Linked DNA regions of Lytechinus pictus. The protein of the gene in region 1 purifies or fractionates together with the protein of each later gene. This does not show direct contact. Links are inferred from orthologs where the notes say so. Each region holds a gene or a part of one and is shown on either strand. Other genes may lie near its edges. The genes, in order: HMG box-containing protein 4-like and chromatin complexes subunit BAP18-like.

What was found.
Region 2: the proteins of HMG box-containing protein 4-like (region 1) and chromatin complexes subunit BAP18-like purify together in Homo sapiens (affinity purification with mass spectrometry; 4 studies listed by BioGRID and IntAct, with this or other methods). This does not show direct contact. The link is inferred for Lytechinus pictus from reciprocal best matches to the Homo sapiens genes HMGXB4 and BACC1.

Annotation. Positions count from the first base shown.
Region 1 is NC_087255.1:16,418,390-16,435,334, forward strand, and holds the start of HMG box-containing protein 4-like, read left to right. Parts: upstream 1-10,498; 5' UTR 10,499-10,662; intron 10,663-15,359; 5' UTR 15,360-15,439; coding exon 15,440-16,714; intron 16,715-16,945. Other genes in the region: dynein light chain Tctex-type protein 2B-like, read right to left, coding at 1,911-2,486. UniProt on the Homo sapiens protein: Negatively regulates Wnt/beta-catenin signaling during development.
Region 2 is NC_087260.1:10,837,208-10,854,717, forward strand, and holds chromatin complexes subunit BAP18-like, read left to right. Parts: upstream 1-8,591; 5' UTR 8,592-8,711; coding exon 8,712-8,729; intron 8,730-11,499; coding exon 11,500-11,594; intron 11,595-11,977; coding exon 11,978-12,079; intron 12,080-13,184; coding exon 13,185-13,351; intron 13,352-14,855; coding exon 14,856-14,969; intron 14,970-16,105; coding exon 16,106-16,167; 3' UTR 16,168-17,357; downstream 17,358-17,510. Other genes in the region: mannose-P-dolichol utilization defect 1 protein-like, read right to left, coding at 363-611, 1,284-1,488, 1,906-2,038, 4,365-4,430, 5,410-5,509. UniProt on the Homo sapiens protein: Component of chromatin complexes such as the MLL1/MLL and NURF complexes.

The DNA.
Region 1 (16,945 bases):
ATTGGATTACACATATATACAGCCAAAATACATTTTCAGAAATTTATGATATTCATTTAGGATATATGATTCGATTTAATTATTATAGATCAGTATTTGATTTAAAATAAGCTTTTATGGCTTCTATGCATCTATACAAATTAATTAGGAATATGATCCACACACATGCTGTTGGCCTGCTTGGTAAATGTATTTCTCAATGTGGGTTTGAATATATTTCCCAAAGCCATCTCGAAAGTTCCAAAAGTAGTGATGACTTCAATAATCCGTTGATTCTTTTGATATGCATCCGGAACTTTTTTCATAAAAGCAGTTGCGTAATGAGACAAAAACTTTGAGGGGGCCAGGCGTATAGTTGTGCTAAAATGTTAGTGAACCCCACCACAAAATGCACTCCTTGAATGTAGACAACAACAAGGTTCAGCGAAACATACTTTATTAAATGTTATATTTTATCATCTGACTTCTAAATAATTAAATATCTAAAACATGGTAGAACTTGAAAACTTTGTTTTCAATTTCTGATGAAGATCACTAACATTTAAGCACCACTTTATATAGGGCCTACAAAAATACATATCTTTTTGTACAGATATTGACATAATATACATAAACTTATATTATATATATTCACCTCTTTCCCTTACATTTTCTTTCATTTTCTCCTTCTCTTTCTTGGTCGTGAAACTTTTGGGGCCATGGGGCCCCCAATTACCCATTTGTTCGTCGATCAGTGCATGATAAATGGCAAAATAGGAATAGGCCTTGATGTTTTGAAGCAAATCTCATCATAACATAGAACCAGATTTTAGCATACATTTTTTTTTTAGAATGGATCACTTTCACTATCTATTGAACAGGTTTTTGAAGACTTTGATTACTCAAAAAAAAATAATGATGATGATTTCCCTCACATATATTTCATTGAATAATATTAACATGATGACAATTACTTCAAGCAGATTACGTCATTCGTTTGTTTATTTTTTCATTTGTAATAAATGTTTTATATAAAAGGGTTATTATAATATGTTATTAATATCACCCTACATTTTGAAATGCCGATGGCCTGACTAGAAGGCAGAAGTACAATATCAAATGTATTGTCTCCGGTATGACCCGACTTCCAGATCTTGAGTCGGATTCAGTTGGGAATTCAGGGTCCTTAGCCAAAGACAGTTTCAAGCAACCTCGGTTTGAAATCATTCATTGTATTTAATTTTTTCGTTTCTGCATTATTTGTCAATAAAATTCAAATGAGTCCAAATTACTTTCAATATGTTATTAACTTTATCCAAATTCAATTCAACTTACATGCCAGCATGATTTTTTTTTTAAAGGGTGGCGCTCTGCTTATATTTCTTGCTGGCGAATTTAATGAGACAAGAATCGGAAGTCTTATATATAAATTTCCAGATCGGAATATATAACATTAAAATCTAGCTTCGAATAGACAATATCATAAATAATTACAATTCAAACATTCGATTTCACAATGATTTGAACAAATAATTTGCTATATTACAAATCAGAATTTAGAAGACATTAAATGAGAACATAATTATATTACTAAAAACGTCATAATGTAGGTTATTTTCATGAATTATATGCCACCAACGGCTGTTAAATGGAAAGTTCATCCTAGTTTGTAATAATATATTTGACAGTGGAAAGATACCCCATGCAAAGAATTCCACGAACGTAACAATAGTACAACACTGTACAGAAAGGAGTTGTAGATGATATCTGCCACTGTTATTCATTGACATTTCAATATTCCGAGGAACATTTACCAAGACGTCCAATCTATAGGGCACATACCCGTGTGTCACACTCACCGGTACTGTGAATGTGCGGTTCAAGATCATGTTCTTGGCAATTATTCCTCTGGTTGTTGAGATCTTTTTTTTTTACTCGAAGTACACAGCAAAAACAGTCGCCACGGCGAAAAGTGATGTGTTCGAGTACCTTGCCGTTGCTGAATTATCCGTGTTAGTATCCCAGACGCAGCGACTTGTGACATGCATATCTTGACTATTTTGTTCTCCAATAACAAGATGACAGACGATCTTGTGCCTCTTGAACCCCATCTTCTTGATTCGCCCCTTGATGACGTCCGACAAGTTCGTCGTCAGGGAAGATACCGTCCTTGGGTTGTACTCCTCCGTTTTCAGGCGTATCGCCAGGAGTTCCTCGACGAAGTTCTGCACCTTGGTGGCGTCAAATTTGCAGCTGTCTTCCGGGGAGAGTTGATAGGTGTTCTCGTACTTGACGCGTGGCACCAGGGCTTTCTGCGTTTCCTTCTGCGAGAGTTTCTTGGCTACCTGTGACCACACCGAACCTTTCCGAGAGAGGCCACCGAGTCTGGTAGAGGTCACACTCGTCTCTGAGATGGTTCCGTCGCCACTAGAATCGTTGCCTTCACCGCTCTTCTGGGAAACGGCAGAGGGTTCTCGAACAATCTTCAGGAGCTTCTTGGCCAACATCGTGCTTTATACTCTCTTAGTCTTCAAGAAGTATTATCAGAAGAACCTAGATGGACTTCGCAATCTTATATCAATTTCCACTTTAAGTGGTCCTCGCGCGTCACAAAGGATCCACTCAGATTAGAAATCCCAATCAATGCACTTTGTTCAATGTCAGTGTTAATCACTAATCATGGAACGTATAATGAGCCGTTGAATGAAGTCACATCGCCTCTCCAAACCACAGATTGTGGTATAATAGTTTTGTTCAAGATTGGCACTTGTGCCGGTGGTACTGGCGTGATCTTAACTGATATAAGAATAAACAGTTGTTAAATGGTCATGCCAACAAAGACAGATGACTAGAATATATTCTCTACTTATAGTCTTGAAAAATAGATTCCACGTGTCTAATTAGGTCGTTATCCCTTTAGTATCCAGACTATTTCACGAGAAAAATGGGTTGACACTGTGAGAAAGAGAAACTAATGTCTCCAACACTCACTTAATACACTGATGGTAAATATAGAACTACTATGCTAACAAGCTGTTGACGAGTTTTCTTAAAGAGTACGCGATGTTTATCCCGTTGCCAACTTAGCGCGAATAGCCCCACATTTCCATTTAACGTCCATCAATACTGAGATTATCCTTTTCGGTTCGATTGCACCCATTTCTATTATCCTTGCATAATGAAGATTCGATTGGTCAAATCCCCTCTCCAGAACAAAACTATTATGTAAGGGGAGTGAACAATAGGTATATTTCTGGCACCCCGTTGTGGAGTATCTGGAATTAGTTTACGGCACAACTAATCGATGGGCGATGAGATCTTGAACAAATAATGAGGCACAATTCAAAAATACAGACTTTCTTTTTTCTGTCTTCATCTTTATCAATTCTCCACAGACATTCGCTTTCCTTGTTTACGCATTGCATAGGATTCGTTTTATAATGCTCACGGTTTTACCCTCTTGCAACGAAACACAAAGTCATGAAGCCGTCCTCCTGCCCGGTCTCCCCGGCAAATTGTAACTGTGTCATTTGTTTTCATTTTGTTTGCGGTTTCCCTTTCAAATGACAATCTAAGTGTGTTGATTATTAGAAAGACTACATTTTACGAAGAAAATAGATCGATAATATCTGAGTGATTCAAGGATGAACATTCTGCATTATGTCATTGACAACGATATACCCAAAAATATATATTTAACATTCAGAGTGACACTGGGAGAGTGCGAAATTTAAATCAAACTTATTAAAAAGAAATTGTACGATGCCTGATACTTCTTCTACTTGCCGAAGTTGAAATTGAAGTAACGATTAACTAACTGCTAAAAAGTGGGATTAATGAGCCAAATATCTTTAGGGACAAGATATTTCGAGAGGGGCAGATTTTCTAAACGGCTACGAGAAAGCGAAGTGACCCATCAAAAACTTCATCTTTAGATTTAACCCCCCCCCCCAAAAAAAAAAAAGGCACAATAATCAGAAAGCAAGATCAAACTTATAAATTATAATTTGTAAACAAATTTTTGGCATTACTCCTTTATGTTTAAGATCGCATGCTCGATCTATAATGAAAATCATAAGTATAAAAAAAATCAGCAAGAAATTTACCCACATTGTGCTGCATAATTGTTACCCACATTGTGCTGCACTCAACCCAGGTTTATCTATTAGTCCAGTCAATCTAGCCAGAAAAGGGAGGTAACCCACAACTTATTGCAACACTGGATGTTTCCACTGAAATGCTTTCCAGGAAGGTCCCCTAAACAACATACTAAAAGTCCCAAAAAATCCAAGCAGTTGAAATTTATGAACTTTGCATATTATGCAAATTAGCCATAGAAAGTTAGAAAAAGAAGGGAAATAGTCCAAAGATTACAAATTAAGTGTCCAAAACAATTTAATTTAAATGAAAGTTCATGATGAATAAATAAGTTCAGTGTTTTTAGTTTTAAAAAGCTAGCAAATCTGCTTAATTAGCGTATTGTGCAAATAAGTGGAAAATGTCAAATACAATTCTCACATTGATTGCAGTGAAAACATTTCAGTTGTTCAAATTAACATGCTGCTTTCACTAAGCATGATAATTTATCCTAATATAATTTATATATTGAAGGAAAAATACTGGAAATAATTATGTTATTCGCTTCCTAAAGCCATGTTGTTAGTCTGACAAGATGATGGGATTGGAAGACGAGTGAAAAAAATATTAAAATGAGGGGAAGACTTGGAAAATAAAAAAATCGTTCATGTCACTATATACAATTTTCGCTCGTGCTTCGCGCTCGCATTGCCTGTTAGGTGATTTACATAACTTGTTCAATATGGAGCTTAAATATCAAGTTTGGAAGTCAATATACAAAACATATTTCACCTTGGAAATCGAACTTTCATTATTTTGTGTGATTTACAAATTTATTTTTATAAAGTGCTCTGCAAAAATGTCAGTTCTATGGTCTGCATATTAACATTTTCTGCTCGCGCTGCGCGATCGCAAATTTTGATTTTATTATCAGGTACTTATTATTTTCGTGTATTCCATTAAGTGTTCAAAATATCCCTTTTCACGTATCAGCTATAGCGCTGCACGCTCGCATTTTGATTGGCGAGTTATGTATGTGTCAGTATCGATTACACAACAAACTACTTAAAATCCCCTTTTCATGACAGTTAATCGAAAATTTCGGCTCGCAATTTGCACTCGCATTAATTCCGCGCCCTCATTATGCATTAATAAATAAGATATCAATTTAATAATTACATTGTACATTTTGTTTCATCTCGCGCTTAGCAAGAGGAATATATGATGACATGTCCTAAGGATGTCCCGGTCCTATGTCAAAACTCAAAATAATAATAATAAAAAATATCAGCTCTTTATTAAGTGCGATCCATATCAAACCCACAATTTTCCTACAAAGTGCTTAAAATATAGAGCTGAAATTAACCCTTTTTTAGATCGGAATATCAAATATTTTATGCTCGCGCTTCGCGCTGGCTTTGATTTTCATGATAAAAGATGTATTTAGAATGCCTAGATTTTAGGATTAAATTATTTATTTATTTTTTATTTATTTCAAATCTTTATCCAGAGTAGCCTGTTCAGCTTTATACAAACAAATATGTAAAATTACACAATATATACAATTAAAACGTTCATTAAAAATCGCTGGTCTTCCACAGGGCTCTGCATTAATACCTAAAAACATATAATTCATAACATAAAGTAAACATAAGTAAAGAAGACATATATACACATCAAAATAAGATTCAGAATGAGTAAAAGGACATGGTAAGAGAGGGAGAAAGAGAGAGAGAGAGAAAGAAAGGGGGCAGAGGCAAACAGAGAGGGAGGGGGAGGCAGAGAGAGAGAGAGAGAGGGAAGAAAAATGTGTGAGGGAGAGAGGGGGAGATACAGAGAGAGAGTTCAGGAGCAAAGAATATTATGTAATATTTGACATATCAAGCATAATCTATTCTTATGTATATATAGCATAGGATAAAAACTAAATTGAGGAAATGATCATGCATTCATAATAAAACCTAATACATGGGCTGTAAGTATGAGAAGTGATGTCATATTCCTATCTGTGATTGCATTATATTATTTTAGGAGTAATTTAAAGGAAGTTGGTCGATTTTCTAGCCGCGTAGCGTCCGGAAGGTTGTTCCACTTTGTGGCACCTGAATAAAGGAAATAATTTTGATAGAAAGAGGTGGAACATTTTGGGAGTCTCAAATTCATTTTATTTGATCGTCTAGAGTTCCTCATTAGTACGGTGTCTAGACATACAATTATACGTGAAAGTATAAGTGGGGCAAGTTCATGGATTATTTTAAACATTGTGCAGCAGGCAGATTTCCAAAAGAGTTTGTCCAATGTTGGCCAAGATAATTTATTAAATACTTCATTGGACGGGGTTTCCCAAGTTAAGTGTGAAATTAAGTATGCTGCCCTTTTATGTAGGCGATTAAGGATATCGTAATTGGCATCACTTCTCCCTGTCCACAGAGGCGTCGATCCTGGGGGGGGGGGGGGCAGGGGGGGGGGCGATCGCCCCACCAATGAAAATATTGGGGGGGGGACAAACATATCATTTTGCCCCCCCCAATAAAATTCCGGATATGCATTAAAAAAAAACAAGATTGTAATGTTCAGCAAGCGAAATTGAGATACACAACTCGTTCTTTATTTAAAATCGTGCTCAAAATGTCCGCTTTTCAGATTGGAATATAAAAATTTTCAGCTCGCGCTTCGCGCTCGCATCATTTCTGTAGCAAAAACCCATACTTTTCATGATTAAATTGGTGAATGTAAATGTCCCATTTTCAGTTCTAAGCCTCAAAAGAACTGCTTCAATTTGCAATAATCTTTTCTTGGATATATAGCTTGTTCTTTATCAAAAACGTCCAGTAAACTGTCATTTTTTCAGATCGAAATATCAAAATTTTCAGCTCGCGCTTCGCGCTCGCATCTATTCTCTTTTAGATACAAATCTTAATCATTGGTACCAAAAATGCTTAGAATATCAAGTTTTCAGCTCAGAATATAAAGAAATTTGAGCTCACTCTCGGCACTCGTACTATCTGTGTAGTGAGATACGTGTCTGTGTCTCATGAGTCATACATATATATAGATATATACATATATATATATATATATATATATATATATATATATATATATATATATATATATATATGTGTGTGTGTGTGTGTGTGTGTGTATATAATATATATATATATATATGTACGTGTGTGTGTGTGTGTGTGGGTGGGTGTTTTGTACGATCGAGCGCCTTTGGAACGTTAATGATTTCGCCCCCCCCCCCCAATCTGAAAAATGGATCGACGCCCCTGCCTGTCCATACATTACAACAATAGAGATTATGGGGCATTATATACCCCCAGTAAATCTGTGACAATTGCTCAGCGGAGAAGGTAGATCTCAGTCTCCTCAAAATACCCAACTTTTGCTTAACATCTTTTGCAACTTTGTTTGTATGACTTCTAAAGTCTAGGTATGAGTCAATAATGACCCCATGACATTTCTATTCATTTGCACATGCTATGGATTTTCCGTCTATAATAATATCTAAGTTTTTATCTTGCAATGTGCAGATTCTTTGACGTGAACAAAGTAGCATTGTCTTAGTCTTATCGACATTGAGAATAAGCTTGTTTCGAATTAACCATTCATGTGTTTGCTTCATTACTTCATTAAGCTGTGTTTCAATGTCATTTTTAGATGTACCTGATACAGAAATGGTCGTATCATCGGCATACATGAACACAGATCCATTAGGAATACTCTTTGGTAGGTCATTTATAAATAAAACAAACATTAGTGGGCCAAGTACCGACCCTTGGGGAAGACCTATATTAACATCTTTAATTGTGGACTTGTTATTTTCTACAGAAACATATTGTTTGCGAAGAGCAAGATACGAGTGAAACCATTTAAGACTACTTGCACTACAACCATACATTTCTAATTTATCTAAAAGGAGTTCATGGTTCACAGTGTCGAATGCTCGACGTAAATCGAGGAAGATAAGTCCATTCATTTTCTTATTGTCGACGTTACGTGCATCTGCTCGCGCTTTGAGCTCGCATTATTATTGTAGGAAGATCCCCTACTACTCATCCTTTTCATGATTTACAAAACATGAATAGAGTGTCCCGTTCTTAGGTTTAAATCTCGAATTTTTCCGCTCGCGCTCGCATCAATTGTTTAGTTTTATAGCTATCCTATTTACGATTACAAATATTGATTAAAATGTTCCATTCTTTGTGTAGAAATGTCAAAAAATTTCAGCTCGCGCTTCGCGCTCGCAGTATATGATTGTTGAAATATTTAATTTCTTCATGGCCAAATGCAAGCAGTCCTTAACAGGTAGGGCCTTACTTTTCGATCAGTTCAAAACGTATCTAAAAATTTTCTGCTCGCGCTCGCATCATTGATGTAAGGAAGATCCCAATTACTCATCCTTTTCATTATTTACAAAACATGAATAGAGTGTCTCGTTGTTAGGTCTAAATCTCGAAATTGTCGGCTCGCGCTTAGCGCTCGTATCAATTGTTAAGTTATATATCTATTCTATTTAAGTTACAAATAGTGCAAAAAATTACCATTATTTAGGTAAAAGTGTCAAAAATTTTCAGCTCGCGCCTGGCGCTCGCATTATTTGATTGTTGAAATTTGTAACGTCTTCATGGCTAACTGCAAGCAGTAGGTAGGCCTACCTTTTCGATCAGTTAAAAACGTGTATCAAAAATTTCTGCTCGCGCTTCGCGTTTGTAGTAGTATAGTTGCATACACATCTTTTTCAGGATAACAATCATTGCCTAGAATTTCCAAATTTTAGGAAAAAATACATAAAATTACAAAAAAAAATTGCTCGCGATTCGCGCTCGCATTATATAAATAGGAATTGATGATATAAATTTATGTTGATTTATAAGGATAAAGCGAAGAAGTAACTATTACGACTACCCCTTCAAAGAAACAAAAAAAATCATGTTCGAGCGGCCGATCGGGGAAAATATGGCTGAAAAAAATTCGGGCCCCCCCCCCCCCCCTATTGGCGAAGGCTGGATCCGCCCCTGAAGTCAAGAGGAGAGCAAGACTTGGGTAGAAATACGAAGCATTCAAGCAGTGATACCCGTGTAGAACTGACTCATCATTGCACAATATGAGTGGAGTAACTGCCCCGGGGGTAACTGCTCACGAAAAAAAGTCAATATCAACCAAGCAAGAAGTGTAGGGATGGTCATCATGGTTACACATAATCTACATGGAATTTTAGAGGAAAGTATCACGAGTTTTCTTGAATATTTATAACATGCCGGATGCTTATTTGCATAATAAGTAAATCACACTTCAGATATGAAGCTGATTAGTAATGTATTGGGCATTCTTAGTGATCACATCATATTGAAAATAAAAATTTCTGGATTTTTTTCCATATAAGGATGCTCATATATATGCAAATGAGGTAGATTTATTTACGATTTTGTTTAATTGAAAGAATAAATAAATTTGTAAAACTTATCATGAGCTTCCAATCAATTTATTTTGTTTTCTGCACTTGATTTCCAATATTTGGATTATTTTCCTTATTTGCAACTTATTATGGCTAATTTGCATAAAATGCAACTTTTGTGATTTTCCTATGCTTGTCTATTTTAGGACTTTTAATATGGTGTTAAGGAAAATTTCATATAAGGCATTGCCATATTCCAATTTCAATTAATGATCAACTTGCAATTTTTTAGGAATGTATCACCAGTGCGTTTTCTTGAGTATTTATAGCATGTTAGATACTTATTTGCATAATATGCAAATTACACTACAAACACTAAGCTTAATATAAGTAATAGCAGCATGTAAATTTGAACATTAATGACATTTCCAAGCAGTCAATGTGAGAAAAATCACAATATCTTGCGATTTTTTCCATATACAGATGCTTATTTGAATATTATGCAAATGAGGTAGATTTGTTTGTAGGCCTACTTTTGATTAAAAACATTGAATACAGTTTAGTTTTGCTCAAATAAAAATGTTTTTTACACTTAATTTGTAATTTTTGGACTATTTTCCTTATTTTTCTAACTTTTTATGGCTAATTTGCATAATATGCAAATTTCCACAGCTTGGATTTTTGGGGACTTTTAGTATGTTGTTAAGGGGACCTTCCTGGAAAGCATTTCAGTGGAATATCCAGTGTTGCAATTAGTGGTGGGTCAAACCCATAGAGATGTATACTAATTATACATCTCTATGGTCAAACCCTATATTGACTGGACTATATGGCTAAGATGAAATTAAGTTATTTACACTTTCATAAAGTGTCCGATTTTTTTAATTTCGTTATTTTATTTATCTATTTCTATTTTATTCTTTTTTTGGGGGGGGGGGGTGGGATCTGACAGTTCCTTGGATTTTTCCCAGCAGCAGCGCTGCCTGGCCGGCATGCTCGACAGAGGGCGTCCCATTAAACGCGCCGATTTTCGCGTCTACGTCTAGTCTTCGTTCTTCTTGATCTTGCGAAAAAAACTCTCTCTGACTCTGACTGAGTCTGACAGATATTTGGAAACTCAAGAAAATTTAACAAGCATAATGACCTCGTCAATTCTCCACATTAGCGACATTTAGCTCCACATGCAGATATCACAGGTGTAGGTAAGAAAAAAAGGTTGAGTGCGCCGTTAGAGATGAGTTACAAGGGTGTTCAAATGAGCTGTATTGCATGAGTGGATTTCTTGTGTCTTTGCGTTTGCTTGGTCCCATATGCGAGACTTTGTGTTTGTTGTGAAGAGATAGCTTAGATTATAGATAGATCATAGAGCGATCGCGATCTGTGTTTGCGAGCGATTGACAGAATTCAGAAATTAACGTTACTTGTCTTAGATGATATTGATATATTGACATTTTGTTGTTCTTCGGGCCGGGGTTGTTTCCTCGGTGGTATTCTGAAAACGTTCTTAATCTTAATTTCTTATCTTTGTTATCTTTTATCTTATCTCATTCATTCATTGAGATAAGAAGACGCTAAAATCATAGACAGGAAATGGGAATAACCGTCGTTTCTGGGGATTTATTCAACAATTTCTGACATTTTACTGTAATCCCCATTTACCGACGGTAGGGTGTACGTGTGGGCTCGCATGTGTTCTCATTCCCTCCCTTTTGTCAATTCACAGTCCAAAGTTTGATGTAAATAATTTTACACATCAAATTTACAATCTAAGGATGTATAAACAACAAACTTTTAAAACTTGATATTTCAATGTTTAAATACTTTAAACGATATAGATGAAAAAGGCATGCAAAATATACTTTACCGATGTTTAATTGGGTTGAACACGATAAAAATGGTCAAAATGGCAGCCAAACTATAAAATATTTACAAACGAATGTCAACAATCACGAATGTGATATCGATATTGCTTTCGATATTATACGATCTGCTCCATATGCGAACGAAACCGAAGATAAACGATACTAGTTATACTAGTACTAGTACTAGTTATAATCGCGATATATCGATTCGAGACATTAAGTTAATAACGATAATGACGTCATTCAAGATGGCAACTTGCAAGAAAAACCGTCAGGTCAGGTGAAAATGTCTTAGATGACAGATTTCTCAATCATCCAGAGGATTTTTTTCAATAACTCCGGCCCAAGGTATGCAATTACTTAAGTTATTTATATTTCCCTGATAATGGAAACCATGAAACTTTCAATTTTGCTTAAAAAACAGTTTTAAATCGCGATCTATAAAACGCTAGTTCACTATACGTTGGCTGTAGGTACGGGGCCCCATCCCCTTCAGTCTACTAAAATCATTGCAAATAGGTATTCTGAAAATCTTCTTAACGCGTTCTTATCTCTGTAAACATTGGCGGCGGAAGCCAAAAAATTTAGGGGGGGGGACCATAAAAAAAATTAAAAGCCAAAAAAAAAAAAAAAAAGGTAATCAATCAAAATTTTACGGGGGACGCAGGAAACAAAATTGACAAGGAAAAAAAAATGAAAAAGTTTATCAACTACAAAGTACAAATTTAGGGGGGATCGTCCCCCCCACCTCAAATTTAGGGGGGACGTGTCCCCCCCGCTTCTGCCGCCTATGTCTGTAAGGACTGCCTCCTTCTTATACTCAACACGCCCATTTTTAGGATATTACCAATCGTGGGCACTGCGCGTACACTGTTTCTGGCGCATTGCGCGAAATAGGCATTTTATACGCAATGACTGATTATTATTTCGAGACACGTGCACAAAATAAAGAAAAAAAAGAAAGAAAAAAGTGAATAAAGCAGGTACGAATTATAAAGAATAAAACAGGAAAAAAAAGTAAGTAGGTAAGAAAGGAGACAGAAAATGGTCAAAATGAAGCAGAAAAAAAAAAAATGAAAGGAACAAAGCAGAAAATAATGAAAAAGTAAACGAAAAAAAAAATTAAATGAAAATTAAAAAATAAAAGAAAGGAAAAAGAATGAATAAATGAAATAAAAAGGAGGATAAATAGAACTATTATCAATGATAAAGTGAGCAATTAAAAATGAAGGTAAATTTAAAGAAAGAAAATGAAAGAAAGAAACTTAAAGGAAAAAAACCAAAAAGGAAAAAAAAAAGATTAAAAGGATAAAATGAAGGAATAAAGAACCGAAAAAAGAAAACGGAGAAAACGAGTGAAAGAAAGAAAGAGAAAAAGAAGGAATAAAAAAATGTAAAAGGTGAAGGAAGAGATAAAAAAGGAAAATGAAACATAGAGAGAGAGAAATAAAGAAATTAAAGCAAAAAATAAAGACTAAAGAAAGAAATCGAAGGAAATGTTGATTCAAAGAAAGAACGAAAAAGGGAAAATAAAAAGGCAGGAATAATGAAGAATGAATCAAAAAACAAAAAGAAACAAAGAAAAATTAATGGAGAGAATAAAGAAAAAAAGATTTTAAGAAATTAATAGAAGACAGACGGAGAGAAGAAAGAAAGTAAAGAAAGAGTAAATAACGAACGAACGAAAAAAGAATGAGCGAAAATTAATTTTAAAAAAGAAGAAAGAAAGACACGAAAGTGACAGAAAGCAGAAAAAAATTAACAAATGAACGAAAAAGAAAAAAAAATGAACCAAAAAATAAAAGATATTAAAGAAAAATAAGGAAACAAAAATATTTAAAAATTAAGGGAAGGAAGAAAGAAAAAGGAAAAAAGAAAATGATTGAAAAAAATGGGGAAAACAAATATAAAGACGAAAGAATGAATGAAAGAAAGAAAATAAAGGAAGAAAAAAAATTGCAAAAAATAGAGTGAAGGAAGAAAGAAAAAGGGGAAAAAAGAAACAGAAAAAGGGGGAAAAAAAGCAAAAATAAAGACTTGGTAAAGAAAAAAAGAACAGAAAAAAACGAAAAGGGAAAATAAAAAAGGAAGATAGATGAAGAATAAATGAAACAAAGCAAAATAATAATAAGGGAGATATTAAAAAAATTCAAAAGAATAAAGCAAAAGATATAAATGAAGAATGAACGAAAGGAAGAAAAGTGAAAAAAATAAAGAAAAAAAGGATAGAAAAAAGGTCAAAAACAAAATAAAGGGTGGATGAAAGAAAGGGTGGAAAGAATACTTGTTATTACCAGTGGCCATCTATTTTGAGCAAGAAAGAACACGAACATCGTGAGATGTGATAACCCTCTAGCTATCTTAAATATTATCATAAATATCGTGAAAGATAAGAAAGATATACGATAAGAACGTTTTCAGAATACCACTTATCTTTATTTTGTATTATATGCGCGTGTAATAAATTTACGCGCTCAGCATAAGATGGAAAGCAAGATAAGAAAAAGATAAGAACGTTTTCAGAATACCGCCCCAGGTACGGGTCCATGGAGGGGATCGGGTAAGCCAATGAAAAGGTCATCATGGTCATCATTCACAAAGGACATGAAGGAAGTGCATTTGAATTTTTTGATCTACAAAAAAGTTAAGACGATGTCAATGAAGACGGCATGATATTATAAAGTTAATGATTCAACTTCAAAGTCAAACTTGTTAATTTTTTAAAGTTACGAAATGCACATCCCAGCACAGACACAGTCGGTGAGAAGGAAATGCATTAAAAAAGATACATTTAGGTCATCACTCTTAAATGAGGATATTATTGGCTCTTTTTTCTTTGACTTTGGGGTGGAAATTATATGGAAGGGCTGCATCCCCCCCCCCCCTTGGATCGGGCCTGTTGCTGGCAGCAGCAAAATAAATTAAAGAAAAACAGACCTCCTTTTTAGGGGAAACAAAGGAAGGGAAAGAATCCAGACCAGGGGCCTGTTTCTCAACACCATCTGACTTCTTGACTAAACCGTTGTCCGCTAACCATTTCACGAAGCCCTCTTTGCTTTGCCAAGATCAGGTACAACAACCTCACTAAATATTTATGACACCTCCGAACCTGTCATAACTTCTATCTTCATGACATAGTGGCATCACTTGAGTAGACTATGAGATGCAAAAGTGCCCAGAAATTTAAAAATGATAATCTTAAGTAATCAATCACAGAGGTTGAAATTACATCACAAAACAAGTGCATTCAATGATAATTTAATACAAAGAAACTACAAAAACTGGTGGTAAAACGCCACAAAACCATTCATTTTGAAATACTAAAATAATTTAATCAATAAAGATTCCACCATGTCAGGCCATCCATAACTGGACTCGTATTTGTTTTGGATAAATCTCTAATGTGATTTTCTAGTCATGAAATAAATTATTCATAATTTAATTTCATCAGCAATTGAATGCTCCAGTCTTCATGGTCTAAGTATTTTTGATGTATAATTTTTCCTGTGCTATTATTTTGAAAAGATGTATTTCCCAATTCATCACAATATTTGCAATTTTGTCATAATTTTTCTTTTTGAAAATTATGCTATTTTTTTACTAAGGCTACGTCTCGTCTGCTCTTTTTACCGATAGTATCGATATCAAGGTATTCTAGTTAGGAACCCTTTTGTGAAACAGGTTTAGCAAGATTGAAATTAACTCCGTGGTTGGTGGATAAAGATATGACTAACTTGTACAGGTGTTGAGAAATGGGCCCCAGGGGTATAAAATAATTGAAAATATAAAGTAAAAGGAGGTCACAGTGAAAGAAAATCAACTCGTATTTTCTGTGACAGAGATCTCTGTCATGAATTCCTACAGCAAATGACCCTTTTTCAGGTCAGCATATCAGGAAAATTTGGCTCAGAGGGAGGACATTGTATAACAATTGCTCCATTTATTTGAGTTATTTTTTAATTAATGCATGGTTCAACGAACTTCCTGTGTCCCTGGACTATTTTTTTATTTTCTGCATTTCCTGTATTTCTTTACAGACGTGGACAGGATATAAGAAGTTTGAAAGAAGGTGCCTCTTTTCTGACAAGTCTCTGCCTGTTCTCTTGGCACCAGGAACATGGCCAGCAAGAGTAAGAAACGGAAGAGGTCTTTATCCCCTGAACCAGGTCCTCCTCCTATCCAAAAGTTGAAGATTAAACCTATGCCAAAAATTCCTCCAGAAAAGTCCTCCAGCGGAAAGAAATCTGCAAAAAAGCGCAAACAAGATGTCTCACCGATACCTACCACAAGTGTGTCACCAACCGGAGATTGGGGCGAAGATGGAGGACTAAAGATGAAGTTTATTTTATCACCCAAGAAGACAAAAGTTGACGCATCGCCAAGGAGCGATACAACAGATGAGAGGCTCTCTCCTAAAGGGACTGCCAAGGGGAAGAAAAAGGGCAAGCAGATCAAAGCAAAGTTGTTTTTTGAGGATCAGGTGCTTACGCTTGATGGCGAAACAGTGACTCACCAAAATATGATAACACCTGGCAAGAAACGAAAGCAAACTACAAAACAGACTGTAGAAGACACAAAGTCGAGTAAAAAGAAAAAGAAGGAGGTTGACAAGTCCAAAGTCAAAGAAGAGCCTATGATGCCACCTTTTACAAAGGTGCCAAAGAGTGCTGAACGGTCCAAGATTAAATCCATCAAAGTAGAATCTGATAGTGGCTACAGCGATACCCCTCCAGTCTCGGCAAAGTCTAAAAAGCTGAAAGCAAAGCTGCAGACATTAGAGGAACAACCCGTTCCCAGTCCACAAGCTTCGGACGTGTCGAGGGATTCACTTCCCAAGAAGAAGAAAAAGGAAAAGGACAAGAAGAAGAAGAAGATGTTCAAGTTCAAAGGAGATCGTAATCGGTTTCTGAATGTCAGGGGTTCCTCTGATGATGAAGGCGATGATAGTTTCTCAAGGTCAGTCCAGGATGAAGACAGCTTAGGAGGCACGTATGATCTTGAGGATGAATACGATGGCAGCATCAAGAAGACAAAGTCCAAGGAGATGGACAGGATGATGATGCCTCAAATGCCGGTGCCAGATTACAGCTTGGAGAAGCAGGCTGCGGAGAGCTTTTCATCAAGCATCAAATCCAAGTCTAAGAAAGATTATAGGAATGAGGGTGAGCTTCAGTCGTCCCGCGCCGAAGACCTCATCTCCCAGCTTACAGCGTTTGGTTCTGATATGGAGACGATCTATCCAAGTTACATGACGGCTCCGGATGAGGATAAGGAGCTAGAGGATGGAGGTTGGATCAAGAAGAAAAAGAAGAAGAAGAAACTGCTCAAGGAGAAGAAGAAAAAGAAGAAGAAACCAAATCTTTTTGAGAGGGATGAACATGGGAATGTGAAGGTGAGATGTAACTCAGAATAATAGAATAATTTTACTTTACAAATTTGAATAGCATTTTTGGTCATAAGAAAAAAGCTCTCAACTACTACCTTGGTCACATTTGCTCTACGGCGGCCGTACGCCGAGTCGAAAACAGCCATTTTATCCTTTTTTATTCAAACCACCGATATTCAGCAAGTACAAAAATGTTAAAACGGCTGTTTCGACTCGCCGTATGGCCACCGTAGAGCA
Region 2 (17,510 bases), on another chromosome or scaffold:
GACAGTTTTGGGTGTATTCATTTGCCCCCCCCCCCCTCCCCCTCTTACCCCCCAACAAGCAGAAGGATGTAACTCACCCTTTTGCCATTTCGGGATTTTGACACCAAAATTACATATTTTGGACATTTTTGGGGTGTATTCATTTGTATCATTCTGCTTTTTTCAATTATTCTCTACTGAGGTATTCCTTGGTTGGCATCCCAAAACCAACTCAGCTCAAAGGCAATCAACAAACCTGCTATCCTTTCTATTGGAAAGTAGCGATGATCACGGCACCAAATAACAACTATTTTGCACATTTCAATGAGTATTTCCCTTTGCCCCTGTGGATTTTTTTTCTGCCTGTTGAGCTATCTAAGTAACTACTCTGCTTTCTTCGACTGTTGTCTGCTGAGGTATTCCTTGGTAGCGCCCCAATACCAGACCAGCTGGGAGGCTATCATGGCATTGCAGGACGACGCGACGATGTAGGTCCAGACCAGCATGGGGTCGTTGGTCTCCTGTATGCTGGTGAAGATTCGGGCCAGGCTACCGGCGGTCAGCATGAAGACGGTCACTGCCGAGAGCTGACCGGTGTGGCCGTTGCTGAAGTTTGTATAAGCCTGTATTAACTGTAGAAGAAAGGCAAAGGCACGAGAGGGAAAGGGTGATTGGTTAGCAGCATAATATACTGCTGCTGGGACCACTAAAAAAAGTAATCAAGGAGCCCAGTGCATTGTTATGTAGTCCTGGGACGAATACATTGACAGAAGATTGTTCAAACTAGACTAGCTCAAACAATCACGATTCCTGGATTATCAGAAATCCCCCCAAATTTACCAATTTTCCAGTGGTCACACATTGTGGGGGAGCTGACTCAGTCGAGTGTCCCAGTACAACGCATATGACATGCACATCAAAACAGCTGAATGATGCACGCTCGCCATCGCAGCCATCATTGGCTGAACACAAGAGTTTCATTGACACAATTTTTTGTGAACTGCTTGGAAGTTTCGCCGATATTGCATAGTGTGAACATCCCATGCTTGAGTGAACCCAAATTGCATGGTTTTGTTGTTACTTTTTGAAGCTCTTGCTGAGTTTTTTTCTCTGCAGTCAATCAAATACTTGTGTTGGTTATGGTTGATCATTTTTGACAAGATACACGTACATGTATATATCATTTGAAAGCTTAGGGTGTGCTTTTCCAAACTCAATAAAATTCTAAAAAGTAATTTCGAGCAAATATTGATGATTTTTCTGGGGGCTGGTCCATATAAATCATTTAGAAAAAGCTCACTTACCTTACTAACAATGACGACAGGCATGTTGGTGGCTTGTAGCATGGCGATGGTGCTCATGGGAGCCAGTCCCGACAGAAGGACGTACATGATACCAAGATATGAGAGCAAGAAGGACATAGCTCCGGCCTGGTTTCCATTATAAAACATGCACAAAAATCCTATAGTGACGGTCTGTACAGCTAGAAACAGGGCTTCACCCCATGCTCTGTGAAAGAGAGGAAAGTTCAATCAATACTTTGATATGTTTATTGATCAATAAATATAAAAATTATAATATTTCAATTTTAAATATGATAATTTTATGTATTTATATAAACAGGTCTTCTTGCAATAGTTCTTGGATTGCAAGATGATAATCATGAAAACGATAACCATTAGCAAAGTATGTACAGTATGTAGCCAGACAATAAAACAGGTCATTTGACAATAAGTAAATTGGATCATAATAATTTACAAAAAGGATAACAATTGAGTAGAAGAATAGTAATTGGTTGTTGTCTCACGATGGATCAAACAAAGGATAACAACATTCAATACAGACCTCTTGCTGCTATGCAGGTGAGACAATTTATAAAACAAGCCTTTCGGCAATCGGTAAATTGGATCTCAAGATAATACTTACGAAAAAGGATAACCATTTGCAAAGGAATATGCCCATGATGACGATATCGCTCCAAGCTCTAGTATAACAGAAATTACATTCAAGCCTTCTCCACTTTTAGAAGCCAAAATCTTACCAATCTGTGGTAGTTTCACTGTTGTAAGATAAAAAAAAATAATAATCCATAAATATCTACTACACTCAAAATCATACAATATTTACCAAATATTAAAGGGATGGTCCGGGCTAAAAATATTTATATCTAAATAAACAGTAAAATTCACAAAGAAAAATGGTGAAAAAATCATCAAAATCAGATAACAAATAACAAAGTAATTGAATTTTAAAGTTTAGCAATATTTTGTAAAAACAGTTAAGCACATCATCATGAATATTCATAAGGTGGGTTGATGATGTCATATCCTCACTTTCCTTTTTCTTATGTTATTACACGAAATCAGAATTGTTTAATTTTTCATACATGTGTACATGTAAATGATGTGTCTCCATTATGATGAAATAAGGTGCGGCAATAAATAACTTACGTGCTTAATCAGTTGTAAATTGTTTTAGTTCTTGGTAGAAAAATTTTGAATAAACCTAATTTCATCTAATAAAATACAAAAGAACAAGTTGGGATATGACAATCATCAGCCCACCTAATGAATATTCATACAGACATGCCTAGAACTGTTCCAGCGGAATAATGCAAATCTTTGAAATTCAATAACTTTGTCATTTGTTATCCGATTTGATCAAATTTTCAGCATTTTGCTCTGTGAATGTCTTTTTATTTATTGAGATATAAATATTTCCAGCCTGGACCATCCCTTTACAGACAAATTTGTTAAACAATCTTGTTATGATGAACTTTGAAGGTTTAGATGGTGGGACAGACAATGTGGGAGAAGTTCACCATGTCATTAGTCCTGAAACAGACTGTTTGGGATGGCTGAGTGATAGAGTTGAAAAAGGAAGGTGAGAAAGAGAAGTATCTTTTGTGATATAAGGTGTAGTCCATAGAAGGACTGTAAACCAGTTGAGATGTGATGACTTGGAACAGAAGAGTTGATGGGTTGAGAAGTCTTGGCAGTGGCGAGTAGATAACCTACATGTACATGTACTCATTGCCACTCATCTATTCATGTATAACTTATCGTCAACAAATACAGCGTCAAGTAAGAACTTCAAGCATCACTTCAAAGAAACACAATTTACAAATACAAAATTTTAATTTTGATCAATCCCAAACTGTACTAATACATTCAATATATTAGACATATGATGAGTTCCAAGAGATCTCTGTACATTTTCATGCATGATAAAGATGATTTCTTCCAAACACATATTTTCATCTCTGTACACTTTCATGCGTGAGATTATTTCTGCCAAATACATATATATATATTAAAGTAATGCTCCTGATCTACATGTACATACATAATTGCATATGCACCACAAAATGCCCCTTATAAAAAAAAACAAGAACAAACCCCAAGCAAGTAAAATACCATCATTTTTTACCAAACTTCCTGACATTAAATTTACCTACCCTGCCAGGCTTCATGCTGGTAGGTTAGATGAATGAAAAACATAATACTTTTACATAGTATGATTATTGAGGTTAGCATCTAAGGTATATAAACCCTAAGGGTAGGATATAATGTTAATTTTTTAGGGTCTATCTTTCTTTTCACATTGGGGCAATTTCTGAATTTGGGGAGTATTTGTTTTCATTTGATGGCTACTTGTTAGGGGGTGACAAACAAACAATCATGCAGCAAATCTTTATTCTGCCATAGTTGGAATATTGATTTTCTATAATCATGAATTTTGTTCATGATTGTTTGTGAGAGATCTTGGGGCAACTCTAGAAAGAATGGTGGCCCCAAAGCATAAATTTGGGGGGAATATTAGGGGCAATTTGGGCTGACACAAGGGCAAAGTCACCCGTTGCACTCGTGTATTTCCTCACTGCGAAGGTTATCAAATCTAACTAAAGTGGTCTGGATCGATTATTTAGCATGTTGAACTTCTTCTTCTTCATCTTGAGTTCTTAAATGGTAATCAGTCGCACTATACATAATATTATGAAATATTCTCAATTTCTGTTTATTTCAATCATACTTTTTTATATACAAGAGGGGAGGGGAAGGAGGGTGGGGGAATGGGCAAATAAACAAACAAGTTGTATTTGTGCTAAAATTGTCTGAGGACCCAATTGTTCATGAAAGATTCAATCAGGGTCCTAAGAAGATGACAGGGAAAAAAAGAGAACAGAAGAGATGGCATGAAAAGGGCATGAAATTGACCAACCTCTGATTTCCCACAAAATTCTGTAATCACTCAAAACAAATTATCCATTTACTATCCAGAGAAATCAAATCAAATCAAATATCTTTCAATTTTGTGTCAATTTTTGTTTTCATTTTAAATAAAAAAAAAAATAAAAAAAAAAAATGAAGACCCGATTTACTTACCCATAAGAGATCCAGCAATGATGCCTAATCCTAATACTTTGCTCAAGGCGATTTTTAGGCAGGGAACTGTAAAACATAAATAAACCACTAATTACACATCAAAATGACAATTTGGGGAATTCCAACTTCAACAGACCTTAAACTGCTCCAGTGTACAAATATTGGTGTCTTGATATTCCATTAATAGCAAAGTAGCCTACATTATTTTAAATCAATGTACTGTATAGTCTGAAATTTGAAAAATAATCTTTGAGTAACTACTGCTACATATACACTACACTGTCAGATATTGATAACTTTTGTAAAATAGGACCGAAGTAAAATAAAATGTTTCTTTCAAGGTTCTTATGGTGTCTTATTGTTCACAATTGGGCCTACAGAACAAGGAAAAAAATTGAAAATATCAAAGTAAGAAGGATATACAGCACACTTGCAAAAGATAATTTGAATCTGACAAGACCAAGGTTAAGAAATGTCTTCAGCTGTGATTGATATACTGTAGTGTAGATATGTACTTCGAATATGAAAAATTTAAAGTTTGCAAAGAGTAGACTTATTTATTCATTTTTTATAAATTTTCCATATTATTAAGTAGAAATGCTGTTTATTTTTTGTGCGAGTGCTTATCTAAATTCCAAACTAAAGTCTAAAGTACAACTTCTTCCCCCGTTTTCTTTGCTTACATAACTCAAGACTAAAGTACCAAAATCCAAATCTAAAACTTTGCTTTGTTAGAAAATTGGGCACTAATGCAGTTTCGCACCGGCCGACTCTTTGAGATAATTTCCGCACCAGTAATGCCGTTCCTGATGACGATATTCAGAGAAGTGGTGGGGCGGTGGGCATAATTGACCTTGAACATGTGCTTGAGATTGAGAGACTTGCTGTGACTCAGCCTGTGCGAAACTGCATTAGCGCCCCCCCAAAAAAAGAACTAACAGTAACAAACGTACAGATGGCGCAAATGCACCAGCAAAAATTAAAGTACGTGGGACCATGCTGGAGATAATGGAATGAATAATTGGGTAATTAACTTGAAACTCACCATCTAGGAAGTCGAAGTTTTCAAAGAATGTGATGTAACAATCTTCCGGGAGAAGAAGCATCACGAGCCACGGAAAGAGTCCGGTCCTTTCACCTTCCATCTTTAAATTTGTGTTTTCTAAGTTTTACTACACGACACGTACGAGTCAGTTTAGCTGTCAATCATGCAAGGTGCCTGGTGGTGGTGGGCGTGGCTCTGAAAATAACGGGGGGGGGGGGGGGGATGACTGGTAGTTTCTTAATTTTTCTCGTTTTACACATAGAGATATATACTATACATCTCTATGGTTTTACATAACTATACCAGGGACGTGAGAGGGAGACGTCCCTGATTATACAGGGGCCGCGGAACGGTTTTCAAAGGGGGGGGGGGGGGGGCTAACCATGCAAAAAATCATAATCATACATGGTCATTTTTACGTTTTTGTAGACAGTTTTGTGGTCAAGTCAATCTTGACATGCCATAATGATTGTGGGCATTAACGGGAAAGACAAGACAAGGTTTTTGAAAAAAGTGGGGAGGGGGGGGGGGGCTGAAGCTGAAGCACCCCCAATATTTTCCTTTGGGGTGCTGCGTGTATTATTCTCCATAGGTAGCACTCCCTGGAATTCTGGAAGGTGTGGAAAATTAGGAAGAAATGAAAAAAAAATGACCTACGTTTTATACAGAACCTACTTTTTTTTTTTTTTTTTTTTTTTTTTTTGGGGGGGGGGGGGGGGGGCCTTGTCAAATTTCTTGGGACCAAAATGACCTTCATTTTGTAGTCACCCCCCACTTTTTTTTGCTAGTCAATTTCCATTTTGTAGTGAAAACCTTTTTTTTGTTGCCTGTCAAATTTACATCAGCACTCCCAGTCAAAAAAAATCGTCCACAGGGCCCTGGTAATGAACTAATCAATTACTCCCCCCCCCCCCCGGTGCATCTCAGGCGGATAAGAGTTTTTTTATTATTTTTTTTAAGCGATTTGAAAGCGATACACCTAAATTGTTCGGACTCGAGTTAGTGCAGGGGCCGCGGAAGCGGGGGGGGGGGGGCTTCAGCCCCCACTTTTTCCCAAAACCGTGTAAATGACAATATGATTGTGATTTTTTGCATGCTCAGCCCCCCCCCCCCCACTTTGAAAACCGTTCCGCGGCCCCTGTTAAGTGGCCTATATGTACAGTATCCCTAGTTACCTCTCTAAGAATTATAACATAATTATGAATATATTACTTGAGTTTTCGTGCATTTCATTCCCGCGAACTGAACCCATTCCTAAAAATAAACCCTATTCTCCGAAAAACTCGGAACCGGCGCACGCCATTTAATTTACAGGGGAGGGAGGGTTGGATCCTATTATGAAGATTACATTTAAATGTCTTGTTTTCACGGATGATGTATGAAAATATTTTTTTGTGCTTCGCACTTTCATGAATCTATTTTGTATACATAATATCAGTGTTCTTAAGGCGGGAAAAGGCATATTGACATTGTCCCCTTTTCAGTGTGAAAATAAAAACAATATCAAAATCAGCTGAATCTCTACAAAATGATAGCCATGTTAATATATAGGACTATAATTTCATAGAGATTCAATAAGGGGGAGGGGCGTAGAAATATTTTCAGGCACAGTTTTCCAGATCGGCCGTTACAAAGCTCATTTGTGTTGTTTTGAGGCAGTAGTCCTTCCAAATACTAATTAACGGGCTTATTTTTACAAACAAGCTAAGGAAGATCTATATTAATTCATAAGACGAAAAAATGCGACCGCGAAGCCGTGATCTATTATGGGGTCAGGATGGATATCCAATAGACCAGTTCGTAGAACTTACTCATGGACAATTTGGTCAAATGACCTATCATTTCTTTCATTATGATAGGAAGATTTCAAAGCAAGATATTACGTAAGCTTGCCTTACATAGCAGGATGAAGAAATTGAATAGACCAGGTGACTAGAATAGCACACCAATGGACACTTTATGAAGGTATTTGTTGCATTCCTACTTTGAATGCATATCATATAGCACATGTTGCACAATGTACTTGGCAAACTGTGAAATACCATGCAGTCGTTCGTGGACGCATCGTTGTTTTTTGTGGATGTAAATGAAAACCACAATTCAAAAGAATATATGAATAATCAAGACATCAAAGTTGGTGCTTATCTCATTAGATTTTAAACCACCATGTCACATTAGTACAAATGACCTTCCTCTGATCATGCGTAGAATCTTTTGATCATGCACAGAAAGGAACTACGAACTGGCTCATTAAACAACATTACTGATGCGAGAGCAAATCGTGAGCTGAAATTTTGTGATATTCCGACCCCGCCAAAACTGGACATAAACACTTTTTTTGTAACCATGCGTGAATAGGAGGTATAGTCATGTCTATCTGCGAGCGCGCAAAGCGAATTCTGACCTAAAACTTGCACATTTCTAAGCACTTCTGGTAAACATGAACAGGATATGGGCATCTAACTATGCGTGAGCCGAAAAATTGATATTTTGACCTAAAATTTGGTTATTCTTATAAAAGCACTGTTTGTAATCATGAACAAGATGCGATCTAACCAAACAATTTATTCGATATTGCAAATACCAGAATTGAAAATATTTGATATACTGACATAAAAAGGAAATTTCCAAGGACTGTTCTGGAATTCATTAAGAGAATATGCCTATACCTATCATACAATGCGAGCGTGTAGCGCAAGCGGATTTTTTTTAAACATACATCCTGTTCATGGCCCGACGGGATGTAGTCTCTCGCTGAAACACAATTAATGAAAACTCGAATTCTGAGCAGAAGAATTTGTTCATATTGACTTCAAAACGGGATATTTTAATCTCCATATTCTTGAGAAGATTATTATTATCTCCCTCAACCGACAATGCTCCCGCGAAGCGCGAGCAAAATTTTTATCTTATTATCTATATGACCTGGAAGTTTGTCTAATTTTTTCACCATCCCTTATTTCATTCACTTTTATCGATAATCCTCTTTTACTCTCTCTCTCTCTTTAATCACTCATTCACACTCCTCTTTTCTCTTTTTTATTCCGCCGCCGATGGGAGGGGAGGGGGACCCCGACCCTTTGAATCCCCACCCTCAGAAATCCGTGCCCCCATCTGGATTCGCGCCTCTGCAGAAGTTGTCAGGATATTGGCCGCCAACTTCATCATAAATGAATATTCATGAGTCAATGACGTCACTAGCTGAGGACGGTGCGTCAACTCGATTCGAGTCGAACTAGAAAAGCAAAATAGTGAACTTACGAAACTATTTCACTCATATTTGAGGCTTTTCAGTAGGAAAGATGAGTTCAGCAGGGAAGGTAAGATATAATTTTCCCTACTTATTTGGTTATCAATTGAAAAGGTTACGATAGAGAGAGAAGAAAGGGCGATAATTACAGACCGAACTGTGTGGCGGAGACGCATTTTGCATTGTCTGTGTGTTTCTTATTGATAAAAAAGGGACGGCATATACGGTCACTCCAACGTAAATTGGTACGTGTGGGGCTGGATAGACAGTCTAGAAAAAGTATCACCAGAATTAGGATGTGTAAAGTTACAGTGCTGGACCAGGGCACTGGACTGGACAGCAGCAGAGGGCAGAGTGTGTTACTGTTACTGTTAGTCGAGATGTGGGCAAGAATATAATGATTAATGAGTAGGCCTAAAGAGTTACTTTAGACAGCTGGCACTGCCACTGCCACTGGCAGCAGCCGTCCGGCGTCTGTTTTGAGGGACAAGGAGTTTTTATAATTAAAGTTAAACAAACATTTTTTTTTTTTTTTTTCTCCTCGTACACTGTACACAGACGGCCCGCGATCGTGCAGCTGTCATTAACAATGCAAAATACCCCCTAATTTTTGTCTTTATTTCATAAAATTAGAAATATAGGAGTTAGGACCTATAATTAAAAAGAACTGACCAAAATAAAGATTATTAATCATTCCGTTTTGGCCTGAAATGCACCAAGACGGGAAAAAAACAAATTTAAAAGGAAAAAAAAAACAGTGACTTACTTCGGCTGTCGCGCAACTCCCATTTCCCTGGTTTATCCGAACTTAAAATACATAAACATATGGCCATTGATTGAGTCCCTGTACAGATCGAGTTAGAACTTCGGTCTCTGTAAAAGTGTAATTGGTGAGTGGACCCAGCGGAACAACCAATAACAGAGACCAAAGCTTTTTGTCTAGGCTTCCATTTGGAATAGCTCTATTTCCACTACTGTCTGGATGTTGTCAGAATCGTCTTCACTGTAGTCTAGAAAGATAGGTCCAACTGAATTAAACTATCAAAATTTGTGCATAGATGTGCCCGCTTAGCCCCAAATTTGTATGAATTTTGATCAAGAGCCGTAAAGCAAGGCTCCACATTAACTTTTTTTGGTGGTGGCCCATTCGGGCCACCAAAACCATCAAATAATTTTTTTTGGTGGCCCGATATTAAAGTTTGGTGGCCCGAAAAATATAAAGAAACACATTAAAAATTAATAAAACAAACTTCTGAAATATTAATTCTGCAGCCACTACCACTAAGTAACTTTCACTTTATCATCTTGTATGTAAACCTTGTTTGCTGTTTTTGCTAATTGGCTTGTGGTAAAATATAAATTGTTTCTATCGTTGTAAAAATTAGAACAATGCATAAAAGGGGGAAACAAATTAAAATAATTTTCATAAAGTATATTACAAAAAGAAAACAAAAATAATAAAAGAAATAAGTGAAATAAAACGAAAGAAAGAAAATGAAGAAAGGAAAAACAAAGAACAGGGAAAAAAAAGAAAAGAAAATTTAGAGAAAAAAAAGTGAAAGAAAAATGAATAAAACAATATTAATATAAACATGGGGAAAAGGGGAAAATTAAGAAGCCATTACGAATATTTTTTAACAGCTGTGGCAACAGTCTATTCTGACTGGAATATAATTAAAAGCCAAGCAAATAATTTCACTTACCTTCTGGAAATGGCACATTTCTATTTTTATATCCTTTAGTTTGTATTATTTTATTTTCAGTAGAAACATATTTTTTAATCAGGTATATTCAATAGGAAGGGGTATAAATGGTTTAACCAAGTGCTGTAAAAAAATGAAAGAAAAAAAATAAGAAGAAAACGGCAATAGTTATATCTGGAAAAAAAGTGTGAGAAAAGTCCTTCCCTATATTTGCCAAAATGTTGAAAAAATTCACATTTCATATCAATGAAATGCCTTCCCAAAGTATCTCAAGAGTGGTTTAAGAAGTCATTTATAAACAAGAAAGAAAGAAACTGTCTGTTTATTTTTGGCTAGAAAAGACACACCTTCGAAAGAAACCAAGTATCAACATACATACAAATGCACATGTGGGACTGTGATGTACATGCCTATGTGTTTTTATGTGTATTAATTCATTTGGAAATCGGTCTTTTGTAGTCAAAAGAGAGGTCATAATTCCTCTTCTTAATGCTTGCAAATAATCAGGGTACACCAAATTTTCGTAATATAGACTGTAGAATGTCATTTCATTGGTGTAAAATGTGACTTTGACTCAGATTTTCAAAGTTCTGTGGAAGATTTCTAAGGCAAGCAGCAACATTTTTTATCGCAGCTCCCAGAGTGTGAATAGGCTGAGCTAGATCTAGAGCACAGAGCTCTGTATGCAGTGGCTTCATGCAAAGCTCACGCCAGCCGGCCGTTGCGGCTGGCTGGATAATAGCTACTGTATGCTATAACTGTAGGCCTAATATGCAAACTGTGTGTGTGTATTTGTGTGTAGATCAACAAAAAGGGCGCATGACGAACTGGGTTGCAATTTGAACTGTAAAAAGTTGATAAATGCGTGCAAAATCGGGAGAAAAATTGCGCTACTTTTGAAAATTATTGGTTGCCCGATTCGGGCCACCAAAACTTAACATTTTATCAATAATGGTTGCCCGATGTGAATTTCTGGTGGCCCCGGGCCACCGGGCCACCGCTAATGTCGAGCCTTGCGTAAAGCCATGTAGTTAGAGATACCTTTGACGACTAAATAAAAAAAAACTGTTCTACTAAACAATTTGATGATGTTTTTCATGATATAAAAATCATTTTGTTTGAATGTTTTTTTTGCAGGTAGGGGAGATTTTCTCGGCGGCTGGTTCAGCGTTCACTCAGCTTGGTGAACTGACGATGCAGTTGTATCCTACTAGCGATCAAACCCCTGTCAGGTATGTGAGAAGGGGGGGGGCAGGGTGTATTTTTTTGTGTGTGTGGGATCTGCGAGTGTGTGTGTTTTCTCTATTTTCTGTATTATATTATTTTCTTTCAGTTCTCTCTTTGGAAAAATTAATGGATCAATCAAATCGATTTATGAATTAATGTTTATTAATTACAAGGTACTTATGAAGTCAGTTTATGTTTGTATTCACTGGAAGAAGCAATAAAAGAATAGGCCTACTTAAAGAAACCCATAACCCTACAAAACAAATTCAGCAGACTTTTATTTTTTTTTATCCATATATTTTAAGACCTGTATGTATCTGTATCTGTCAGGGCATATCATAGTTATCAATATTTATTATTTGTGTATCCTTTGAATTGAATTTGATAGTGGCAAGTGGACAGATGAGGAGGTTGAGATGCTGAAGAATGCTATCAAACAGTTTGGGGATGACCTTCACAAGATCAGTGAAACCATCAAGACAAGAACTGTGTAAGTATTACTTCATTTCATTTCAATTTCCATTTCATTTCCATTTCTATTTCATTTCGATTTACGTTTCTATTTCATTTCGATTTATGTTTTCATTTCATTTTCAATTCATTTTCATTTTTACATGTATTTCCATTTCTATTTTTATTTTATTTCCATTTCATTTTTAATTCATTTTCATTTTTACATGTATTTCCATTTTATTTCCATTTCTATTTCCATTTCAATTTCCATGTTTTCATTTTATTTCCATTTCATTTTCAATTCATTTTCCATTTTACATGTATTTCCATTTCATTTCCTTTCCCAATTTCATTTCCAATTCTATTTCCATTTCTATCTCCATTTCATTTCCAGTTCTATCATTCTATAAATCAATCAATGCAATGAGATTACCCTTTGGGTACAGTTAATGCAGAATCACTGAAAACATGATCAATAATCCCACAGCAGCACCCATATCCCTTTTGCAAGACATTTAGCTATATTTTCCACTTAGAATTCATGTGTATTTTATGGGTACCTGGTAAGGAAGGAATTCCTTGAATGCTCAAGCACCTGATCATAGCAGGGGTAAAAGTATACAGCAATTAGAAATTTCAAATTGCAGGTTATTAAATTTTGCATATTATCATCATCATCATTGTGACCATTATCATTATCATCATTATCACATCATTTTCACCAACATTCTAATGTCTTTACCATTATGACAGTTTTCATCACTATCACCATATCATCATCGGCATTATCACCATCATCATAAATATCTTCAACATCATCATCATCACCACTACCATCACCATTATCTCCATTTTCACCACCATCATCATAACCATTATCACAGTCATCGTCGTTACCATATCACCATCATTACCACCACGATCATTATCATCACCATCATCATCATCATCACCACCATCATCATCACCACCACCACCATTATCTCCATTTTCACTGCCATCATCATCATTACTATTATCACAGTCATCGTCGCCACCGTCATCATCATGATCGCCACCATCATCATCAGCCTTCACTGTCTTCACTCTGATCATCATCACCATTACCGGTATATTCTTTTCTTTTTCTTCCTCTGTTGTAGATCTCAGATCAGGGCAGCCATTAAGAGGAAATCCCTTGATGCCAACACGAGGAAGGAGAGAGTGGACAGGGGTCACGTAGAGCCGTCTACCGGCCTCACATTGATGGCCAGCCATGCTCCAGCACGCTCCTCGCCGACTACACCACCTGCTAAGAGGATAAAACATGGTAAATTAAAAAAAAAACTTGTTCGTTGGTAATCCCACCTGGTCTGCTGGAGACTTTGTTGGACTTTGATCAAACATTGATCTCTCGATCGCATAATGATATTTTTTGCTTAAGGTTAAATGTTTTAAGGTGGTTAGAGGTTAGCCTCAACAATTCGTGCAATATTTTCGCCGTGCAAAATTTTTTGACTGCGCCGCTCGCTGACTTTTTACTTTTAAGTCTTGCGCACCTTTTGAGACTAAATTTGCGAGGACTGGGTACGCGGTTCCGAAATTACGCAACATTTTGTAAGTGCATGTCAGACCAAAAATTGCTATAAAACATGATTTCGTGTACAAAGTCAATGCAAATTGGGTTTTCAACTCATAATCATAATTGTATGATTATTTTTAGTTTTGCTGGTCTAAATGGATTTATTTTATGCTGTTTATGATCTCAAAAGAGTCCCCGACAAAGTTCATTGAAAAAGCAATAAAAAACAAAAGGTCCAAGAAACAAAGAAATACATAAGAAATTGCAAAAAACAATATAATACATAAGACATTATTCTGATATCGCAATTTTTTTCATGTTCATTTGCTGAGAACACCACAAAGAGTTTCTACAATAAAAATTGGAACATTTGGAGCTTTATTTAGGAAATAAGAGGAAAAAGTATGATTTTGCATACTAATTACGCATAAATTAGCATAATTAATAGATAATGATTTGCATGAAATAAATTGATACAGGATTTTGTAGATTATGTTCCAGGCAAGCTGCGTGTCAATTTTCGGCGCGATCGTGCGATCGACGGCCGAGATCTCCTGGAAGGCCCCCCCCCCCCCCCCCCCCCCCCGGCCATATGATCTCCCAAAATACCCCGGCCTAGATAGGGTTAATTGAGGGAAATTGTCATAAACATTGTTTAGGGGGGAAAATTATCAAAACAGCATGCGAAAATACTTGAATAGGGTATAAATTTGATTAATGGATAAAACTTGTTTAGTGTGGATTTGTAAATTCTATAACGGAGTGCCCCCCCCCCCCCCCCTGAAAGTAGGCAGGGGGGTTGTAGACTGCTCATCTTTAAGTCACCCACAATTTATTAGTTCAACCGTTTATTAGTAGTATGGGGACTTCATTTTGTTAATTAAAGCAAACCGTTGATTTTTCAAATGAATTGCAATTTAGCATTATTAATTAGTTGGGGGATTTTCAGCCAATTTTTGTAGATTATGCCATCGGAAACAGGCATGCTGATTTTTGTCACATTTGCTTGGTCAACTGCTGAGATCTTAACCTTTAATCATCCCCCCCCCCCTCATTTTCATGGTCTAAATAATCCAGTCTTTTTAGGGTTGAATTTCCCTGCTACATATTGATATTACAAAATTGTTACTTTTTAGGTTTTGAATGACATGCATTGTTAAAGTCTTCACTTTTGCAACATATAGAGAAATTGATTTTGTGGTGTACCGTGGAGTTCAAATGCTAGACATGTTTATGGGTTTTTTTTGTCCAGAATCATCCGAGCCTGGGAACGATTCCCTGGTTGACATTGAAGGTCTTGAAGATGGTTCCTCGATATCACCGTCGAAGAGATTGGAATATGAAGGAATAGAGCCTGCCGCAGGAAGTAAGTCTTCAAGCTTTTCAGTGCTGTGCTATTTTTCTATACTTTCAATTTTTTCCTAGATAGTGTTTTTGTGGCTTTGTATTAGTACTCACAGATACTTCTATTCGTGGTTTTATTTCACATTAATTAAAGATAAATACCAGTTGTGGTAACGATCTCAAAATGAGCCCGAACAGAATCCAATGAAATTACCCTCAGTGTTTGTATGTATAAATTAAAAAATAGCTCTGGAAGAAAATGCGTAATTGCTGAGAAATGAGTAAAATAAGCATGGAATTCCATCAAATGTTGGGTATTTTTCAAGCAATATTAATACACTGTCCCACAAATGCTTTTCTGTGTTAGTGATCATCAGAATTATCAATTTTGAGCTAATATTTCATGATTTACAAAGATAAGTTTACATTAATGTAACAGATCTAGATGTATGATAATATTTTGACAATTAACCTGATTGATTTAAAAGACTTTCTCAATGAAATAATTGTTTGCTGCAACTACTTTCTTTTACCTTTAATGATTAATAATTTTCATCACAATTATTTTGCTTAAAATGATAATGATAGTTCCTATTTATAAAGCACCCTTTTTTGCGAAATACAAAGCGCTTAAACTACTCTATAATATTTTAAACATCATGATAAAGATATGCATAAATGTTAAAATGCTATAATGCTCAAATGTGCTAAAACTACTCTGTATATTACTAAAAGTGTGTATTATTATTCAAGTAAGTGCTTTAAGTGCTTAAAGCTGGCTTGATGAAGAAAATACTTAGCAGTGATCTGAATATTAGTATATTTGCTTGCTTCGCCAAGTAAATTTCTAAGTGATTTACTTCATCGATCAGTATTCTGAATTGAATACCGGCCCAGTGTCTCATAACACAAAGGTTAGCGATTAATCGTTAATTTGAGAGAACAATTCTGATTGGTTCCTTGTTAGTCTACTGAGCAAAATGTGCATGCAACGATGATCTTGATGGGCCGTTGCAATTTGCGATTTATTGCTAACCTTTGTGGCATGATGAGGCCCAGATTTCTATGAGGAAATACAAGATGATGCCTGAAATTCTGAGATTTTGATATAATTGCCAAGTTTACACATTTTTTTTCTCCATCATTTTCTTTACCCAGTTGAGATCAAAGTGGAATGCGAAGCCATGTCAGAGTCAGAAGCGGATAACTTACAACGATGAGGAATTAGCTTGGTAGGTTTCCATGGTTGCGATACACCACAACACAGGTCTCCATGGCTACGATACACAGTCATCCTACAATGGCATGAAAACATCTGTACAGATAATGATGCCAACATTTCTATTTTATTTATGACATGCTGGACAGTTCAACTGCAAAGTGACGTCAGTAATTTTTTACCCTGTGCTCTTCTTGAAATTGCTCTGTGCAATGTTTTAATGACCGCCTGAGCTGAGGAACAATCGCTGAGCTGTCAACTGTATTTTTTAACTCAAACGCAGAGACGCCAACATATTCAAAGTCTTGGCGTCTCCACCTTTGGCCTATGATAGTCCTTTCTGTTACCAGTATCCCCCATCGAAAATTTTCAAGACAAACTATTTGTAGCAACTACTGGTAGTTTTTATTTTCAGTGAATTGGGTTTCTGATTAGATGTGTACCGATATATATGTACAGTTTATATTGCTCTGGAAGGTAGTATTACTATTATGTAATTAATCTTTTATCTTCTCCAGGGGTGTGAGAGTTAAGATTTTTATCTGATTTCAGATTTTTTTTTTTTTTATTTTCAGCTTAATTTCAGCTTATTTTTGGCCTTCCTCTGTACAAAAAGTATGGGAGCTCTTTCTATTTCAGACTTTTTCAACAGATCTTTTTATTTGTGACCACTCACACCCCTGCTTCTCTCAGAACTTGTAATTTGAGAATTTTCTTCACGCCCCTGCATAACGAAGATTGAAAGGGGTATGTTGGGGTCGATGTAAGGTTGGGTAGTTGGGTGCAGACCTTGCAGATTGAATCACTTCCTCAGTTTTTATACGCCCGTCCTAGATGGGACGTATTATGGTATCACGCTCGGTGTCCGTCTGTCTTTCCTTCCGTCCGTTAACTTTTCTTTGTAAATGCAATAACTTCAGTTTGACTTAAGCTAGGCTCATATAATTTGGTGTGTATGATACTAGCATGGATCCCAAGAAAGCCTATTGATTTTGAGGTCAAAAGGTCACATGTGACATTAGACAGCTGGCAGCCGTCTGTTTCGAGGAGTTTTTTAACATTTTTTTTTTTTTTTCTCCTCGTACACAGACGGCTCGCTATCGTGCAGCCACCATTAGGGGGTTAACAATGCAAAATCCCCCTGACGGGGCTCATTGATTTTTGTCTTTATTTCATAAAAATATATAAAAAGTACAGTACCAAAATAAAGATTATTATTCCGTTTTGGCCTGAAATGCACCAAAATAAACTTAAAAGGGGAAAAAACAGTGACTTACTTCGGCTGTTGCGAAACTTCACTTTCCTGTTTTATCCGAACTTAGTACATAAACATATGGCCATTGA